Tamandua tetradactyla: one gene and its partners. The main gene of each other region encodes a partner of the protein of the gene in region 2 in a complex. Links are inferred from orthologs where the notes say so. Each region holds a gene or a part of one and is shown on either strand. Other genes may lie near its edges.

Region 1 (3,742 bases), on a different chromosome or scaffold from region 2:
CGGCGCCTGGGTCCCCGGGGCAGCCCCAGCCCTAGGCAGTGCTGACCCCTCTTCTTCCCGGTTCCTTCTTCCTTCTCGCCAGCATCAGCGCCACCTCCCTCCCCTCCGGGAGCTCCCCTACCGGGAGTCCCCTACGCACCCCCAGCCGTCCACTAGGCAGTGCAGGGGTAGGAGGCTGCGGACGCCCCCTCTCAGGGGCCATGTGAGCAGGAGTGGAAGGAGTGAGGGGCTCGCTGGGGGCTGAGAGGCTGTGGGGCCGAGGGGACCGGCTGGTGGTCCCCGCGCCGGCCTGCTGATGCCTCCCAGCCTGGGCGCCGGGCCGGCCATGATGCCTCCTGGGGACAGGGTCACAAAGCAGCGTCAGGGCCAGGAGCAGGCAGTGACCCCATCAGCAAAGAGAAAACCGAGTGCTGCTGGGTTAGGGAGCAGCTGGTACGAGGCCTGGGGGCGTGAGCTCCATCTCTCCCCTCTTCTTGACAACTCCCCTCCCTGTTTCACCTCATGGTCTCTCCACAGCTGCTGACCTCAGGACTTGGGGAGGGGGGATTTGATGGCCAAGGAGGGACGGCAGCAGGTGGGGGGGAGACCCAGGGTCCCTCCCCAGGAGCTCAGCTGTCCTGTCCCATCGCTCTGTCCCCTGCAGAGCCCACCTAGAAGCAGCTGAGTTGTTTCTGGCACTGGAGGTGTAGGAACTCAGAGCCTTTCCCCCTCAACCTGGGGAGCTGGACTGCCACTGCGACCTCAGGAACTTTGAGAGAGACCTTAGGAGACTAGAGACAAGTAGAGGGCAGGCTGGGGACTGGGGACAGGGGACACACCAAACTCAGAGGACAAAGGCATGGCTGCTGCCCTTGCTCCTGCCCCAGCCCCAGCCCCCGCCCCTGCCCCAGCCCCAGCCCCTGCCCCAGCCCCAGCCCCTGCCCCTGCCCCAGCCCAGGCCCAGCTCCTGCCCCTGCCCCAGTCCCAGCCCAGGCCCAGCTCCTGCCCCTGCCCCAGCCCCTGCCCGAGCCCCTGCCCCTGCCCCAGCCCCTGCCCCAGCCCCTGCCCCAGCCCCAGCCCCTGCTCCTGCTCCAGCCCCAGCCCCTGCCGAGCCCCCGCCCCCGCCCCCGTCCCCGCCCAGGCCCAGCTCCTGCGAGCAGGTGTGGATCCCCTTTCCCCCACTCTGTGTCCCGGCGTCTGTGCACTGTCTTCTCCCCGGAGGCCCCCGCCCCCCCTGCCCGGCACGAGGCCCCACTGGAACTGGCTGGCGGAACCGCCTTGGCGGAGACTGGAAGTAAAGGGCCATAAACCGGGGCGGCGCCTGGCAGGGGCGAAGGTCGCCGAGGCTGCGCCAGCTCAGGCCGCCCAGGGTTGGCGCCAGGCACCACCGGGACCCTCCTGCGGGGCGCGCCATGGGCGCTGGGGTCCTGCTGCTGCCGCTGCTGGCGGGGCTGCTGGGCGGAGCCCCTGGCGTCGGGGCCCAGGGTACGGCGGGGTCCCGGGTGGCCCGGAGCGGGGGTCCGAAGAGGCCGGGCGCGGGGTGCGAGGCGCGGGGTTCCAGGGTCCGAGGTAGCGGCGCGTGGGGGTCGGGCGTCCCGGGCGGCGGGGCGCGGGGTTCCGGGGTCGGGGGCGGGGAGGCGCGGGGTCCGGGGTCTGCGGCGGCAGGGCGCGGGGGTCCGGGCACCCAGCCAGAGCACCCACCCTGCACTCCCATCGCGCAGCCTGCTCGGTGAATCAGACGTTCTTCGAAATCGAGGAGAACAGGAATTGGACGGAGCCCCTGGTGGACATCTCCGTCCCCCCGGACCAACAGGTGACCCTGGGGCCCTCTTCCACCCCGGGCGCATTTCAGATCATGGAGGACCGGCTGTTTCTCACCGTGACCCTGGATTACGAGGTGCCGGTCCAGGCAGGGCAGGGCGAGCCCCTGGGGGGCCTCCATGGAGTGCCCGCGGGTGACCCCCGCCCTCTGGCCCGCAGACGCAGCCGCTGCTGCAGGCGCACCTGGAGTGCAAGAGGGGGGGCGCCGTGGTAAGTGCCGCCGGGCTGGGCTGGGGTCGCCCCGCGGTGGGGAGCGGCCCCCAGCCCCGCCCCGCCCCCCATCCCCCGCCCCGACCTCCCTGGAGCCCACTGCCCCCGCATGGCCTTCAGGACCCGCCTGTCCCGACGCCCGGCCCCGCCCCCCCGCCTCCGCGGGCCCCTCTGCTCGTCACCCTCTTCCTGGACCTGCGCCCCCCCTCCTCGGGGGCTTTGACGAGGCCCCCCGCAGCCCCTGACCCTGCTTTAGTTATTTTTTAACCTTTTCTTGGGATCATTTCAAAGGTAGGAAGTTGAGCGGAGGTAGGAGCCCGGCTCCGCCCTCCCGCCTCCCCAGGTCCCCCGCGAGCTGCGCCCCCCACGGCCCGCTCCCGGGCACCTGCCCACACCGCGCCCGCCCGCAGGTGACGCAGCTGCGCGTGTTCGTGTCGGTGCTGGACGTCAACGACAACGCGCCGGTCTTCCCCTTCCCCAACACGAGCGCGAACGTCAGCGAGGTGAGCGGGGCGGGGGTAGAGGGCGCGGGGCCGGGCGGGGCGCAGGGCGGGCGGCCGGGTCGTGCGCGCATGGCGCGGGAACGCGGCCCTTTCTCGCCAGGACGCGAAAGTGGGCTCCATTGTCATCCCGGAGACAGACCTGGAGGCCAAGGACCCTGACAAAGACGACATCTTGTTCTACACCCTCCAGGAAGAGACCCTGGTCCGTGCTGCCCACCCCCCCTCCGGCCCCCCCACTCCCCCCCACCTCTTGACTCCCCCCCACCCCCACCGACTCCCCCACAAGCTGCTCTGCCTCCTCCCAGAGTCTCAGGCTGCGCCCCCCCCCCCCCGCAGGGTGCCAGTCACTTCTTCTCCCTGGTGGGTGCCAACCGCCCCGCCCTGAGGCTGGACCAGCCACTGGACTTCGACAGGTGGCCGGCCATGACGTTCCGGCTGCTGGTGCGGGTGAGCAGCCCCCCACCTCCCGTGCCCCCACTGAGCCCCAGCCCCAGGCACCCGGCCTGAGCTGCGGGGACGCTGTTACAGGACACCCCGGAGGAGGGCGCCCTGCCCGGCCACACCGCTATGGCCACGCTGACCCTGAAGGTCCTGCCTGCCGACCTGAGGCCCCCCTGGTTCCTGCCCTGCGTCTATGCGGATGCCCACGTCTGCCTGCAGGCCCAGTACCAGGGCGCCGTGCCCACAGGGCAGCAGCTGGTACAGCGGGCAGCGCTGGCCGGGTGTGCACAGTGGCTCCCGTCAGCGGGCCAGGGTCAGGGCTGCGACCATCTCCATGGTGGTCATTTTAAAACAAATATACAGGGCCCTTCGTGAGGCGTCTCCCCAGCCAGGCAGTGGCAGGGGGTTGGGGAGCGGCATGGGGGGGTCACCAGCTCAGCCCCCACCATCGCTCTGTGGCCCCTGCAGCCCGACCCTCTCACCCTGCGTCCGGGACCCATCTACGCGGTGGACGGGGACCGGGGCCTCAACCAGCCCATCGTCTACAGCATTGTGGACGGTGAGTGGCCCCCACCTCGGCAGAGGGCACCCCGGCCTACCTGCCAGGGTCCGGCTGAGCCCGCACCCCCCACCCCCCAGAAAACAGCGATGGGATATTCACCATCAACAGGACGTCGGGGAACCTCACCATGGCCAGGGGCGCCCCCAGACCCATGACCTTTCACCTACTAGTCAAGGTGCGGTGGTGCGGGCGGGGCGGGGGCTCCCGGTGTCCCTCCTGCACTGAC
Region 2 (3,742 bases):
CCCATTAAAACACCTCTAAGGAATCACTTTGGGGGGGAGGGGTTATCATTTTCTAAAGACTTTTTATTATAAACTATAACATATATACAAAGAAAAGAAAGAGTTTTCAAAGTACATTTTTAACAAGTAGTTACAGAACAGATTCCAAAGTTTGTTATGGGTTACCATTCCACTAGTTCACATTTTTGCCTTCTGGCTGCTCCAAAACACTGGAGGCTAGAAGAAATATCGATATAGTGATTCAGCAGTCATGCTCATTTGTTAGACCCTATTTTCTCTGTTATAACGCCTCCTCTTTTGATCCTTCTCCCCATCTATAGGGATTTGGGGGCACTTCCTGTTCTTTGTGCGGATGAGACCCACCATAGGTTCTTATTGGCCCAGCCTTGCATCGGGTGCCCAAACCTGGCCAATCACAGTGACCAAAGGGATGCTGTGCTCTGACTGGCTGGACATGGGTCACATGACCGCCAGAGGTGGGGTGGAGAAAGGAGGGGTGGGGAGGCCCCCCAGAGGAAAACTTGGGTGCTGTTATCAGGGGGAGTGAGAATTGGTGCTGGCAGGCAGAGCATTAGGTGCTCCCTGCTAGGGAGTAGGGAAAACCTTCTGGGGGAGGGGGAGGCCTCCAGCCAGGGCAGCAATGAGGGGGGCCCTGGGAAGGTGAGGAGAGGCTGGGTAAGGGGTGGGGTTCCTCCGCCTCCCCTTTCCACGTGGCGGGTCCCTGGAGCTGGCGCAGCCATTTGTCCATCAGGGATAATTATAAGGGTACCTGCCTCTCCCTGGTGATAAGGGGAGTCAGTGAGAGCGTGATGTAAAGCACACCAAAGGTGCTCAATAAATGCAGACTCCCACTGCTGGAACACACAAGGACATCTCCCCCCAGGGCTTCCCTGGAGCTTGGGGGGTGGGAGGATGAAGTCAAAGTGTATTTGCAGCTCTTGGTCTGTTTTGGGACACCTGGGGCGCACTGAGCACCCGTCCTGGGCTGACTACCCCCAGTCCACCCGCACAGGTAGTGGTGGGGGAACCAGCACCTCAGGATCCAAACAGGAGGGTTTCAAAGGGAGAGGGGCAGTAACCTCTCTAAGCCATCCAGCCAGAAAGGGGCAGAAGGCTCGGGCTTCTGAGCTTGTCCCTAGGGCCCCCTCTGTCCTTTGTCAACCCAGGGGTCCTTGGGCCACTGTGGCAGGAGTAGAAGGAATTGGGGGCCTGGTACCTCAGGGAGGGTAGATACCCTGAGAAGACCTCAAGTCAAAGAGGGTGGATAATGACAGCTGTCGCAGCATTCACTGAGCCAGGCGTTAACATGCTTGATTGCTTCCCCATGCATCACGTGTCACTGAGGACTCTTGTGATTGAGAGGGGACTACGGGACCTGACTGTCACACTCGGACCATCCTCCTCCCAACTTCCTGCCTGACCCGGGGTTGGGCCTCAGTCCCGCCTCTAGCCCCCTCCTCAATTGGGTCGGGTCTCCTGAGGCATCAGCCCCACTCCAGGAGGTGCGGTCCCCGGCAGGGTTAATGATTGCCCAGGGAGGCGGGTATAGTGCCAAAGTCTGCCAGCTGAGCACCTGTGCCTGCCAGTGCCCACCTGCCGCCTCTGCGGCCCCTTCCGGGGCACAGGTAGGATCTCCGCAGCTCGACTGGGGCACGGTGGGGTCTCCTGGTCAGGGGGAGGTAGGCTGGGGCCAGTGGGGACCAACGTGAGCTTTGGGTGTCTTTCAGTGTCCCCTGGCAGCTGGGTGGGAGCCCCGGCCAGAGGGAGCCATTGCCCACCTAGGGTCTCAGGTTCTGCAAGGTGGGGTTAATGATACCTCCTTCCCAGGGTTCTGATGGCGCCCTTTCCTTCCAACTGCTTGGGTCACTGGACTCATGGAGGGTCCCGGATGAAGGGAAGTGGGGTTACCCCAAGGTCCCTTCTGGAGGAAGCTCCAGGCCAGGACTAAACTCTGGAATCACACCCACTGGGCTCAGGCCCCTTCCTGGGCCTGGCGCATCGCCTCACTATGGCGTCTGAGACAGAGACTCAGCTGACAGCCGGGGCCAGGCCTAGGCCACCTCCCTGAAGCAGGAACTTGAGGGATAGGGGCACCAAGTACAAAGCAGAGACTCAATCGACATTAAGGTCCAGCTGATTGAAACAGGCCGTGGCCGGTATGTGGACTTTGTGGTCCTTGTCATCGTCCCCTTCTCAGCAAGGGAAACTGAGGCACAGAGAGGAGAAAGGGCTTGCCTGGGGTTGCACGGCAGGTAAGTGAAAAGCTGGACTCTGAACCCAGGGCCATTTGACTCTTTGTGTGCTGGATGCAGCAGCCTGGGGGATGGGCACTGTAGGGGACCACAGTGGCAGGAAACCCAGCTCCCTCCCGGGTCCCCCATCCCTGCCACAGGCCACACTGGCTGGGTTTGTGCCTGGCTTGCCCAGAGACTCCTGGCTTTGGAGACAGGCTGGATTGAACACCTCTGTCCCTTGCTCTTAGGCTACCGTTTCTGACTTTCTTTGTGCCCCAGTTTCCTCACTGGAAACCCAGAAATATAATTCCTACCTGGGCAACAGTTTTGGGAAATCAGTGAGAAAATGGAAGTGAAAGTGTGCAAGGAGGAGGCACATCCCTCTCTGCCCTCCCGGAGGCTCTGGGCAGGCCTGGTGGGGGGGGGGGGGGGGGCGTCTCATTCCCAGAGATTCCAGATTGTAATAGGAGGTCTTAGAGCCACACAGTATTTAGACTGTGGTTGACATCACCTCTCAGCTGAGACTGAGGCACCAGCACTTCCCTGGGCAGGCAGGGCTGCACCTTGGGCCCCGTGGTCAGGGTGTGTCTGCCCCTTCCAAGCCAGATACGGTTCCCAGGAGTCTGAATGCCTCAGGCAGACAGGGTGGGCAACGGGTGGGCGCCCAGAAGCCACCCTGATTTCACCCCTGTGTTCATTTCGGAAGCTACTCTTTGAAAGCGGGGAGTGGGGTGGGAATTGGGGATAGGAAACTGTCATCTCTAGAACGTAGATTGTCCCCATGTTTTAGAGGGGCAGACCGAGAGGCAGAGTGGTGGGCAGTGACTGGGGGCTGGAATTGATGTGCCTGTCACTTCAGTCCCAGACCTTGGCCTGAGGAGGAGAAAGGGGTCCCTCAGAGCTCCCTGGGGGGTGGCAGAGACCTGGGAAAGGGGCTTCCATGGCTTTGTCAAGACCTTTCCCCAGGACCAGTCCATGGTGAATTCCATTCACTGATTTTTCGTTCCTAGTTACTCTGTCCTTAAGCCTGCTGGGGAAGGGAGGTGGGGATGAACAAGGCAGGTCTAGCACTGCGCCTTGCTGGGTTGAACCTTACAGGATGGAAAGAATTTGCACACATGTGGGAGGCAAGGGAAGGCGTTCTGGGCAGAGGAACGGAACACGCAAATGCAAGGAGGGAGGAAAGTGTGGGGTGTGGATGAGCACAGGAGCTTTAGACGCCACTGGGCCACAGTGGGGAAAGGAGAGAAGCTTGGGAAAGAGAGGCCAGGGTCCGTGAGACTCTTGCTGGCCAGGCTGAGAGCAGTAGTGTGTCCTGTTGCCAGTGGGAGCTATGGGAAGGTTTGAGCTTTGGGGATGACTCGGTCCAATGAGGTTAGAAGGCTCATTGGGCTAGTTCGTCCTTATACCTCCCCCAGCCCACGTGGGCGCTGTACGTTTTTTCTCAAGTGACTGAACACAAGGGATGACGCTTCTGGACTGTAGAACTTTGGCCTCATTATGATTAA
Region 3 (3,742 bases), on a different chromosome or scaffold from region 2:
AAAAAGAAGCCACGTATAGTATGAAACTCGCAAAAGCAAGGGTTGGCCCAGAAACTGGATGAGATTTTAGGTGGCTGAAAGGCTCAGCACACACAGTTTCCTCCAAATGGTCCTTCGTTAAGCGTCTCCCAAGTTGCTTCCGTAACTTTGTCATGGGCTGAAAAAGGGTAAACAGAAACTCCTTCGAGCCGGTTCAACAAAGGAACATTTGGTATCAGGTGCCTGGGGTCTCCACGCAGTCCAACCACAAGAAGTACAGGCAGCTGTGGGGCAACCATAGTCCTGCCTCCTCTGGGTCCTCCTGGCCAAACCCTCTGCCGCCAGCTTCTCTTTCTCTCTCCCACCAGTTCCCCCCTACATGCCCAAATTCCAGGTGGCTGGCCCTGCCTTGGCCTGAACTAGACCTAAAGGATGATGGCTTGTCCTGTGCCATCTCCCTGCAGCGCCTATGTTCTTTCCAAGACCTGAGACACAGGCAGAATCTGACTGGCTCAAGTTGGGCCAACTGGATGGACCACCAAAGACCCTCTTCACTCAAGGAAAAGGCTGCGGGCTGAGCAGGTATCTCTGATGCACTCATTTTCCGTCTGTCTTCAAAGCTGGGTTGCCAGTCACCCTTCCCATGTACTTGTAGGGACTGTCTCAGGTCACATGGGGCCATACCACCATGATGCCTTGCCTTTTAAGAGCGGTCTGTATTTGCCTCAGAGCTCAAATCCCCCTCCTTTCAAGTTCTAGCCCAAGCCCACCCATCTCTGCTCCCAGGGACCCCTGCTGATGGCTTTTAACTCTCTCTTATATAAGGCCTGCTGCCTGCCCCAGGCACTTCCTGTCCATGTACCCCCAATTAGAATGTCGGCTTCTTGGGGCCTCCCAGACACCTGGGAAGATGCTGAGGCCTCCCCAACAGGATTAGCTGATTGTCACCATGGGATCTGGCTGGTGGCCAGAAGCAGAGGCACAGAGGGCGATCCCCAGGCCTCCAGGGAAGGGAACAGCCCCTCCCTGCTGTAGGGCCCTGGGTTAAAGATCAGACACATGGGGCTCTGAGGGCTGGGGCTGCAGGAAGCAGGTGGGAGGGAGGGGATGTGCCTGGAGACCGAGGACAAAGTCCTGTAATAAATTACGTGTACCCAGAGGGCTTGGCCATTTCCTCTTCGGGCCCATCCCCCTCCCTCACTCCCTGACACACCTGAAGCCTGAGGCTGCCACCAGGCCACTCTCCCCTGCCCTCTTAGAGTGCTAACGGTGGAGGAGCAGGGAGTCAGCGAGACCTCTGTCCTGACAAGGTAAGAGAGCACCATGCCTGTGGGCCACTAGGCACCCACATTCTGCCAGCTCCGGGAAATGGTTAGGAGTCCCTGCTCTGGAATCATAGGCCTGAGGAAGAGCTAAGGGACTCACCCTGAAACAAGATGGGAGAAAGTCAGGAGCCCAGGGCTCATTTCCCCGGGATGGCAAGGCCCCTGAGGGCTGAGGAGAAGGGAGGAGAAGCTGGCCTGGCTGGACACTGTGGGGGGCAGACTCCCAGGCAGAGGGATGTGGGCGCCTGGCCTGGCAGCCTCTGCTCATAGACGGAGTTCTTACCGCTGGATCCCAGGGTGCCTAGTATAGGCTGGCTACCAAGAAACTGGGCACTGTGCCCATGCCAGCTGCCTGAGCGGTCCCAGGCTGTGGGGTCTTGATTCCTATTTTGTGCTCGAGGAAGTGGGGGATGGTGGACCAGAAACAGGGCCAGGGTTCAACTTCAAAGCTCACCTGACATGCCTGTCATCTCTGAGATGTCAGCAGAAGGGCGTCCCTATTCCTATTTGGCAGAGGAGGAAATTGGAGTCACAAGGGCAGGGTTGTTCCCCTGAAGTCAAAGCTGGCAAGACTGGAGCCGGATCCTAAATCAGTAGGTGTATCTCCAGGATCACTCCTCTTCTCAGGCTCCACTTCTATCTCTGGGCTTGAATTTTGTCCTAACCTATAAAACCACTTGAACCCAGTTTAGGATTTCAGGTTCAAGAAAACCCAAAATCTTTCTTCGGCATGACCATAGCCGAGCATATGGCTCTCTCTGCTCGGATGACACCTCCCCAGGGCTCTTTGGGATGAACCACTCTGTTCTCCCTCAGGAAGCCCCCTCCATCATTCAGATCCAGGGGTTCCCTGCTGTAAAATTCTCAGAGGCCACGTCTCAGGACTTGCTGTCTGTGTCTGAGCAGGAAGGCAGCCTCGCGGGTATGTGCAGGCAGAGACCCCACCCCTACATGTCTGTTTGGGGGCAGAGACCCCCAATGTCTGTGCTGGCAGACACTCCCACCACCATGTGACTGTGAGGGCAGGGTCCCCCGTGTGTGTGTGTGTGTGTGTAGGAGGAGCTCCCCATCTCCATGTGTGTTTGGGGTGGAGACCCCCAATATCTATGCTGGAGGGGACCCTCACCCCTGTGTGACTGTGTGGTCAGGACTTGTGTGTGTGCAGGGGGAGCTCCCTACAACTAATGTCTGTGCTGGCAGGGACCTCCCCTCCCCTGTGTATTTGTGATGGAGACCCCCAGTGTCTGTGCTGGTGGTGACCTCCGTGTGTCTGTGTGGGCAGAGACTCTAACTGTCTTGGGCACTGCTGCAGCCTCATGGGCTCCCGCAGGGGGTAGCAGCCTTGCCAGAGAGGAGACACAGCAGGTGCAAACATTTCCCAGGTACACCACTGAATTTGCATAACTTCAGGTTTTCCATGTCTTAAGATGGCTCTTGCTTCCACATTCTCTCAATCCGCATAACAAGTCACTTGAGGAGGAAAAGCAGGAGCTCTTGTACATTTTACAAAAGAGGACATTGACATGAAGGAGGATAGAATGACTTGCCCATGGGTACACAGTGGCCACTGGACTAGAAGCTCCTTGAAGAGTTGGGCTGGACTGTTCAGATATTTCTCTGTCCCCTGCACCTACCTGTCCAGAGTTTGGGAGGGAATGGGCACTCAGCAAATTAATGGTGTTGGGATTGAATCATGTCCCCTCAAAAGGCATGTTCAGGTCACAAGTCCTGGTCCCATGGGGGTGAACCCATTTGTAAATGGTTAAGCTGTGTCCCAAATGAATAAGGGTGGACCTTAATCCTATAAGGCTGAAGTTCTTATAACCATTGGTAATTGGACATGAAAAAGAGAAGTCACAGGGAGTAGCCAGGAGCTGAAAGTCAAAAGAACACAGAAGAGAAAGGAGAAGACGCCTCCATATGCATTGTCATGTGACAGAAAAGCCAAGGAACCCTAGATATTGCCAGCCACCCAGAACATACTGACCAGGAAGAAAGCAAAGCTCTGTAACCATGAGCCAATATCATCCTGTTGTTAAGCCAACCCATTATACACTATTTGCTTTGGCAGCTAGGAAACTAAAATAGTCCTTGGAGCTGGTTAAACTGAAGTTCTGCTATAACAAATAACTAACAATGTGGAAATGTCTTTGGAATTGGATAATGGGTAGAGGCTGGAAGAATTGTGAGGCACTTGATAGAAAAGGCCTAGACTGTTTTGAAGACACTGTTGTTAGAAAAATGGATATTGAAGTAACTTCCAATGAGGACTTTGATGGAAATGATACATGTGTTATTGGGAACTGGAGGAAAGATGATCCTTGTTATGAAGGGTCAGAGAACTTGGCGAAATTGAGTTCTGGTGTTGGATGGAAGGCAGAACTTAAAAGTGATGAATGTGGGGACTTCCGGAGAAGATGGCGGCTTAGTAAGACGCG

What was found. Proteins that work in one complex are often made in the same cells at the same time.
Region 1: CDHR2 (region 2) and CDHR5 share a complex: the UniProt entries of both Homo sapiens proteins name them as parts of the IMAC/intermicrovillar adhesion complex. The link is inferred for Tamandua tetradactyla from reciprocal best matches to the Homo sapiens genes CDHR2 and CDHR5.
Region 3: CDHR2 (region 2) and MYO7B share a complex: the UniProt entries of both Homo sapiens proteins name them as parts of the IMAC/intermicrovillar adhesion complex. The link is inferred for Tamandua tetradactyla from reciprocal best matches to the Homo sapiens genes CDHR2 and MYO7B.

Annotation. Positions count from the first base shown.
Region 1 is NC_135335.1:485,751-489,492, reverse strand, and holds the start of CDHR5 (cadherin-related family member 5), read left to right. Parts: upstream 1-1,391; coding exon 1,392-1,464; intron 1,465-1,700; coding exon 1,701-1,876; intron 1,877-1,959; coding exon 1,960-2,010; intron 2,011-2,420; coding exon 2,421-2,513; intron 2,514-2,613; coding exon 2,614-2,715; intron 2,716-2,849; coding exon 2,850-2,960; intron 2,961-3,041; coding exon 3,042-3,212; intron 3,213-3,422; coding exon 3,423-3,513; intron 3,514-3,593; coding exon 3,594-3,691; intron 3,692-3,742. UniProt on the Homo sapiens protein: Intermicrovillar adhesion molecule that forms, via its extracellular domain, calcium-dependent heterophilic complexes with CDHR2 on adjacent microvilli. Thereby, controls the packing of microvilli at the apical membrane of epithelial cells.
Region 2 is NC_135346.1:58,010,559-58,014,300, forward strand, and holds the start of CDHR2 (cadherin-related family member 2), read left to right. Parts: upstream 1-1,258; 5' UTR 1,259-1,523; coding exon 1,524-1,625; exon of another isoform or gene 1,626-1,679; intron 1,680-1,717; exon of another isoform or gene 1,718-2,252; intron 2,253-3,742. UniProt on the Homo sapiens protein: Intermicrovillar adhesion molecule that forms, via its extracellular domain, calcium-dependent heterophilic complexes with CDHR5 on adjacent microvilli. Thereby, controls the packing of microvilli at the apical membrane of epithelial cells.
Region 3 is NC_135329.1:85,601,165-85,604,906, reverse strand, and holds the start of MYO7B (unconventional myosin-VIIb), read left to right. Parts: upstream 1-1,168; 5' UTR 1,169-1,289; intron 1,290-3,742. UniProt on the Homo sapiens protein: Myosins are actin-based motor molecules with ATPase activity. Their highly divergent tails are presumed to bind to membranous compartments, which would be moved relative to actin filaments.